2 linked regions of the Oryctolagus cuniculus genome follow. The protein of the gene in region 2 interacts with the protein of the main gene of each other region in a pairwise test. Links are inferred from orthologs where the notes say so. Each region holds a gene or a part of one and is shown on either strand. Other genes may lie near its edges.

Region 1 (3,978 bases), on a different chromosome or scaffold from region 2:
CACTCAAGATGTTGTCTCAGGGGATCCGAGGCAGGCTGCTACTCTGTGTGATTTACCATGTGGGGGGAAAAAAGGAAAAACAACAGCATGCTTCTTTCTAGGTAATTCCTTGACACAGCAACTCTCAAGGGATGGTTTTCTGCTCTCATCTAATTTATAACTAGTCCCCTGACAAGGAGGGAAAGAAAATATTAATATAGGAAAGCGCCAAGGATTACACTTGGCTGTGTGTTTTGAGTTGGCCAAAAGGGAGCCACATAGTCCGTGTATGCCTGAAAATATTCAAAAAGATAATATTTGACTAAGAAATGCGATCTCTTCACAGGCATCATGGAACGCGGCTCATCTGTTCTGACGCGTAGGGTTTGGCAATCAGAGTTCAGTTCTCGGAGCCCTAGCGCATGGGGGTTGAAAGGTCTCTGTGCTCGGGTCATAGGCAACAGACTTGCTGTAGCTGAAGGGCTCCAGGGAGAATGGGCCAATTGGGGTCTACTGAGTTGGAGGTATCCTAACTGCATGATTTGGGACCCAAGATTTTGCTTGTTGGTTTGTTCCTTGCCTTCTTGGCCATTTTGGCTGTTTGAGGTTATATATACAAACAACATGGGACTGAAACTCAAGAGGTTTTCATTTAAATTTCACCCCACCACTTATTCAAACTTAGGCATATAGTCTGTGCAAATTACTAATCTTACTGAGCCTCAGTCTCCTTATCTGTAAAATGGGGATAATACATATCTTGCAGGGTTGTTACAGAGACAAATCAGATGTAGGTAGATAAAACATTTGACATATGGTATGGCAAATGCTGTAACATTTCATAAGTAGCAGAATTTTAAAAATTTACATAAAGGTTAAAACTACAAGTCACTCAATCTGTTGTTTTGTCTACATGAAATCCCAGAACTGGTTTGACTATTTCCCTGAATTCTCAAACTTGATCAGGTGTTTTGACATTATATAACCATGTTGGCTAATGTCCTTCCACCGGCTAATGTCTTCAAGTGATTAACAATTCATAGATGATTCCTTATTAATTACCACTGATAGCCAGTGGGGTGATTAAAGAAAGTGTTAACACATCAAACAAATCCAACAAAGATAGACTCTTTAATACAGACAGGGACAAAGTTTCTCTGCTGGGATCTTTCCACGGGGGAAAGAATTTGCTGAATCTGAGAAAGTGGCAAATTGTGCTTATGATGTTCGTTTGTTAAATAATAAATGGCTCATTTAAAAGGCATTCCTTTGATGTGCTCAGACACTCTCCTCCCCTAGGACAGAGAAACAGATCAGTCCTTAAAACTGGAGAAGTCACAGTCACACAACCACTCAGACGCTAGCTGGACGCTGGCTGTGACACAGAAAGTCTGGTCTGATCAACCAGATAGGTTACCACATCTCCACTCTGTTTGTTTGTGTTTTGGGTGGGCCCAGCCACAGCAAGCACAGATGCAGGGCAGTGTTATAGAAATAGTCACCGGCTGCTGCTGCAGAATGTGATTACACGCATTTAGAATCATGAGGGAAGCCAGGGGATTGGTTTTTAAATAGCCCGCACCGAGTGTGTGCCATGCCCGTGTCCCATGCCCTGAGTGCCTATGGAACATTCCAGCCCTTACTTCCAAAAGCAGTTCAGGTTTCAGAAATAACAAAAAGGCGAGTAATTCTTACCCTATACGACCTCAGTGAACTCACACTGGCTAACCTCGGTGGGTGCATTTGCACCAGGCTGATGTCATGCAGAATTGTCGGGGTCAAATTTGTCTGGGAGGCTCCAGGACCCTGCTCCTGAGGACTTTGCTCTGCATCCTTCCTGCCCAGGGTTCTCTGCCTCCTTCTCTGCGCTTACCTAATAAGCTCATTTTCACTGAGGAGGAGATAGATGGGAAGGCTCTGAATGTGAACTGTGCCATGATCGCAACAGTTGCATGGTCACATCGATTAGAAACAGGTAGGGTTCATGGCTGGCGCTATGGCTCACTAGGCTAATCCTCTGCCTGCGGCGCCGGCACACCGGGTTCTAGTCCCTGTTGGGGCACCGGATACTGTCCTGGTTGCTCCTCTTCCAGTCCAGCTCTCTGCTGTGGCCTGGGAAGGCAGTGGAGGATGGCCCAAGTGCTTGGCCTTGCACCTGCATGGGAGACTGGGAGGAATCACCTGGCTCCTGGCTTCGGATCGGCGCAGTGCGCCGGCCATAGTGGTCATTTGAGGGGTGAACCAACGGAAGGAAGACCTTTCTCTGTCTCTCTCTCACTAACTCAGCCTGTCCAAAAAAAAAAAAAAAAAAAAACCAGAAACAGGTAGGGTTCTGCCGTGCAGTGGGGCCAGCCAGTGCCCTGGAAACCCCACACAGGCGACCAGCCTCCCACTGGGACAGGAAGACTGAGGGGCCTGCTTTTGGCCACCAGCTGAGGCCTAAATAACACCAGCCATTACTTGGGGTGTGCAGCGAAGTCCGGCAGCATGTGTGACCCCTCACAGCCCAGGAAGAGACACCACTGAGAGCCAGTGGTGTTTGATTGGTGCACAGACAGTGGTTTCTTACTCTGCTATTGGGAACAGAAAGAGAAACATCCTGTTCCTATAACTTGCCTTCATCTGACGACTCTGCTACAGCCCCACAGCTCTTTCGGGCCTTCTGCAGAGGCATGATGGGAGGTACTTTGGGAAATGTCAGCCTGGGACAGTGAGGAAAACAGATGCAGTGCAAGGACTGGGAGTTACCTGGAGTGCTTGGGAAAAGATCCCGGGAGGCCGTGGCTGGCAGCTTGTGTTGGCAAATAAGAAAAACCAAAAGCCACACTCTGTAGGGAGGAGAGGGAAAATAAAACGATCCAATAAAAACTCATTGGATTAGTTGTACAGAATGTTTTTAAAGTCTCATTTAAGATTTCAAACAATAGGAAGAAAAAGCCTTTCCCAAGCAAGTTATTCATGTTTTCCGTAGGACCAGTTTTGAAACGTAACCAGTGAGAACAATTATGTGTTCTAGTTTGCTTTAGTGGCAGGGAGTGGTACTTAATGAATGCGATCTTAAGAGATGCGTTTGCACATGTGACAGCCCTAATTCCTTCTCCGCTGCAACTGGAAACCCCCAATGACACGGGCTCCTGGCAGAAGTAACTGACATTTCCAAGGAGAATAGTGGCCTCACTGCCATAGGTTTATAACGTATGTTAATGAACTCAACCTCTGCCACTCCTAGGACAGTTCCCCTTGCAAGGAGTGGATTCCAGGGTCCTTTTTCATAGTGTGAAAGCAGCAAAACCTACGACTATATATGAGAATTCAATATGACCTGAAATCAAGTTCTATTTACTCCAAGGAGATTTGGTCTTGTTTGAAGCACAGAACTGATCTTCCTGGGGAGCAAATAGCATATTAAAAAAATCCCCCATCAACATATAAGTGCATAGTTAATAAGAAATGAAAGACTATGGGGGCTGGTGTGGCACAGTGGCTTAATCTGCTGCCTATGACTCCAACATCCCCTATGAACATCAGTTCAAGTCCCAGTTGCTCTGCTTCTGATCCAGCTCCTGCTCATGTGCCCAGGAAGACAGCAGAGAGTGGCCCAGGTGCTTGTGTCCCTGCCACCCACATGGGTGTCCTGGATGGGGTTCCAGGCTCCTGGCTTTGCCTGACCCAGCCCCAGCTGTTGTGGCCCTTTGGGAAGTGAGCCAGCAGGTGGAAGATCTCTCTCTCTCTCCCTCTCTCTCTCTCTGTAAATCTCCCTTTCAAGTAAATAAATCTTTTAAAGAAAGAAAAAGTAAAAATAAATAGCATGAATGAGAGAAATAATAAGTCATCCTTACTAAGGCTTTATCATTTAGCCTTTTAAAAAATACTACTTTTTCAGAAAAAAATTCCACAGCCTATAATATTTCACAGTGATTACCACCTTTTCCTAGTCTTCCTTGCATTAGAAAAAAGAAAGAAAAATTTAACAGTTTTCACAGACCACTTAACCCAGAT
Region 2 (4,034 bases):
AAACTTCCCCTAGGACTTTCGACAATTAGGTTTGACTAGTGACAGGGTGATATAGGTTTGTCCTGGTTGCACCACTCAGAGCTACTCTAAAATTGAAATGAAGTTACTGTAGGAATCACGTGTGAAAACATAAAGCAAAAAGTCGTATTACAAAAACGCTCTGTGCAGACTATTCAGAGGTTACCCTCTCCTCCCTCCTTGTGGTCCCCCTGCTTCAAACCCACCTAGGCCTTTGCTTAATATTACTATTTGATCTGTCTCACAAATTTCCTTTATTTCTGTCTAAAGAAAAGTCAGAATCAGAAAGAAAAATATTAACCAAACTAGAAAGAAAAGACTCTAAGAAAAAAAGGGTACATGTCACAAAAACCAAATTATCAAGAGACATTCAAATGATAATGATGCTGTATGCCAGGTAGAGGGACAGCCATTACCAAGTGCATTAATTACTAAAGTTATGTGGCCCTGCTTAAATGTCTCTGACTTTGTTTACTGATCTATAAAATGGTAATGTAAAACCTATCCAGCCCACAGGGTTTTTTGTCTTAAAGGACAGTCCATGAAAAGCACATAGTACAGTGCCTGGCAGACATAGTAAGCACCCAGTAAACATTAACTATGAATGCTGGAGAAATTATAAAGTCCAAAGACACTCAGAGACTTTATCAAAAATAGACAGTGAGCATGTGTTGAGCTTGTTTTTCTGTCTGAAAAGTCTCTTTTCTGGTCAGTACACCAGAAACAGATCCAACTAAAGACCACAAAGGGAGACTCAAGCCATATCATGAGGTGGCAGAGAATCCCTTAGGAGGCAAGTGCAGGACATTTGGGTCTGACACTAGCAGTCATGTCTATGCTTTTGTTTCAGAGCCTTTCCTGTGAGACTCCCAGTTCTTTACATTTCTAAGGGATGCAGTTAAAGACAGACTTAAAACTAACACAGAAAAAAATGAGAATGATGATAAACCCCTGGAGACCTGTGACCTCCTCCTTCAGGAGAGGAAGCTTAGTGATCTGGCATCACTGATTTTGCCCTATTCACTCTGAAGTCAACATTCCCTAGTCTTTATCAATGTGTTTACTTTTTCTATGTACAGGATCCCTCCCATTCTAACATCTTGCTACAAATAAGTGCTTAGATAGGGAAAATCAGCTCACCAGCTCATGAAGTTCTGGAGGCAACGATACATTTTCTTTTCCCAGTTCCTTTTCCTGTCTCTCCACCCCCAATAAACTCCCATCTTCTCTACTTCTCTCACCTTGTACTCCTGCACCACCTCCTCCAATGGCACCACGCTGTGCTGTTTGTGGCTCCTAGATTCACGGCACACCACACAGATGGCCTCTTCATCTACCTCGCAGAAGAGCTTCAGTGCTTCTTGGTGTTTAGGACAGATGCCCTGCTCGTTTACACGGCTCCCTCGAACAGGGGTTGGATGCATCTGCCGAATCACCTGAACCATGTTGGCCAGCTGCAAGTTTGGGCGGAAGCTCCGCCGAGGAAAGCTCTTTCGACACTGGGGGCAAGTGAAGCACCGCCGAGGGGCTGGAGGCGGGGGCAGTGGGGTGACGGTGTCTAGCTCCTCTTCCTCATCCTCCTCCAAAACTTCCTCCTCATCCTCCTCATCCTCTCCCCTGAGGTCCTCCTCCATGTCCCCCAAGTAGTAGTCCAGGTCTTCCTCCTCATCTTCCTCCTCCCACACATAATCCATGTTGTCCCAGCTGGACCCACCCATGCCACTGGACCAAAACACACCCTCCTCTTCCTCCTCAACCTCTTCCTCCATTTCACCCTCATAGTCTTCGTCCTGCATGGGGGTGTCCCACCCCCCACCAGCCCCCACAGCCTCCACTTCTTCCTCCTCTCCATCCTCTTCTTCCTCCTCTTCCTCCTCCTCCTCCCGGTCTAACTCTTCCCTGTCTTCCTCATCCTCCCCGCCCCACAACTGAGTTACACACACTCGGCAGAAGTTGTGCCCGCAGCCGATGGACACGGGGTCGGTGAAGTAATCGAGGCAGATAGCGCACACCGCCTCCTCTTGAAGGGTCTGCACTGGGTTGGGTGTCATGGCAACGGCAGCCATCTTAGTGTCCAGCCAGTGTAGATGTGCGGTGGGGGGGGGCAGGTGTGGGGGGGTCTTTCCCTTTCAGATGCCCTGTCGGCCCCGCCCCACCCCCAGCCCTGCCTCTCCACACCTCGTCCCAAGCGCAGCCAGAGAACTGTCCGCTCGAAAACCCACACCTCCCCAGAGTTCCCCGCTCCTTGACGACAACCGTGTCTCAGCGGGGGCACAGGTGGGGTGAAACAGCTGAGCGCCACCGCCAAGTCCCTCAGGTAGACCTGAGTGCAAATTTGCCTTAACGCTCCCCTGGCCTCCTCATAAACCCCCGCCCCTCCTCCTTCCTGGCCCCGCCCCCTGGTTTCCGGCCTCCTCCCAACTCTTCCGGTGCGTGTGCACCACCCAAGCTCACGAGTTCCCTCCGCTGTAGTGCTACGCCTCTCTTCCCTCAACGGGGCCCCTGTGCGACAGGAAACGGCGAGGGGACGCTCTAGCCGACACAAGGGAACAAGGCGGGAGGGCTAGGAAGGAGGAGGCCCACGTCTCTGTGATGCGGAAGAGCCAGGAAAGCCGACGCAACAGAACCACCCACCCCCATCCCCCGCCACTAGGGAGAAACTTCGGGGTACGGCTGGAGCGTTGGGCGGCCGTCTGCTCTCGGTGCTATGCCCGCATCGGCCAAGCGCCATCCTACCGGCCAGACACGGACGACCGCCACAGGGAATGCCCACAGCCGCCGGAAGTGCAGGGGCGGGCCCTAGCGAACGCGCTGAACTACTTCCGGCCCTTCTAGGCGCAGGACTTTGTAGTTTGAGCCGCCTAATAGTTTTGTGAGAGTTAAAGCTGTATGAAGAGATTAGAACCTTACTTAGTGATACCATCGTCGTCGTGATCATCGTTGTGAAAGAATACTGCTAGTATTTCACTAAGAAAATTGGGAGTCAGGAGTACATAACTGTCTTTCTGTATTTGAATTTCGAACCAAGTCCATCTTGCTGTAAAATAACTCCCAGAAATGGTTACAGGAATTGCTACAGAACCTCCAAAACTACTGGATCGGCTTTGTAGTAAACCAATCACTGCCATCGAGATGGTGCAAAAAAGTAGAGGAGCCAGTCAGCTATAGCTTAATTTCCAGACGCTTTGGAGTAAAGGGAGTGAGTTACAGTTCAAAATTGGAGATGCATAGTGCCCTCAGGCGTACAATGTTTGTCTCTTTTGATCAGTAATAATGGCCTGTAAGATTCCTTTGGAGTGGCAAAAGGTAGGCTCCAGTCTGTAGAGTTCTAAGAATAAACTGTACTAGTTTCTTTCATCAGGGCTTGAAGTTTCTAAAAAACTATCTAATATGAGATTGCTAGCAATAGAGGTGATAAATCAATTTCAAGTTCTGCAATCGGGAGTTCTGCCGGTGAGTTCTTGTAAGAGCGCTCAGAATAGATGCTAGCATTGAGATGCTTGCTAATTATTTAAATGTAGGGACAATCGTACTGCTCCTTTCGAATTAAACTTTACAGAGAAATTGAAAACTAAGAAAGATACTGGGGCCGGTAAAATCAACGTCAAAGGTTGCTTGGGGCGGGAGTTGGTTATAATTTTTTAAGCATTGCCTAATATAATATATGTAGGTTTACTAGTCATTTACACATTTATGTACATATATTTGGAGTATGGTGTGGCATTTCAATGCATGTATACCACGATCAGATTATTTAGCATATCCATCACCTCAAACTTTTATTAGCATTTGTGTTGGGAACATTCAGAATCCTCTCTATTTGCATCGGTTACAATCTTATGGGAATTTTATTTTCCTAAGGGCTTTGGATTCACCAGATATTTCTGAGCTGTGAACCACTCATGCTCCTGTCCCTGATGCCTCAAGGTTCATCTTCATGGAGTTGCAGACTAAGAGCAGGGACTCAGATTAGGTTTGTGGAATTAATTTTACAAGAGAATTTCTTGGGTGTATTG

Evidence for each region. The genes of interacting proteins can lie anywhere in the genome.
Region 1: the proteins of TRIM41 (region 2) and protein FRA10AC1 interact in binary tests that used the Homo sapiens proteins (3 or more experiments, as listed by UniProt). The two-hybrid records come from large-scale screens. The link is inferred for Oryctolagus cuniculus from reciprocal best matches to the Homo sapiens genes TRIM41 and FRA10AC1.

What each region holds. Positions count from the first base shown.
Region 1 is NC_091446.1:36,947,004-36,950,981, reverse strand, and holds the start of protein FRA10AC1, read right to left. Parts: upstream 2,801-3,978; 5' UTR 2,728-2,800; intron 1-2,727. UniProt on the Homo sapiens protein: May be involved in pre-mRNA splicing.
Region 2 is NC_091445.1:34,916,886-34,920,919, reverse strand, and holds the start of TRIM41 (E3 ubiquitin-protein ligase TRIM41), read right to left. Parts: upstream 2,801-4,034; 5' UTR 2,085-2,800; coding exon 1,260-2,084; intron 1-1,259.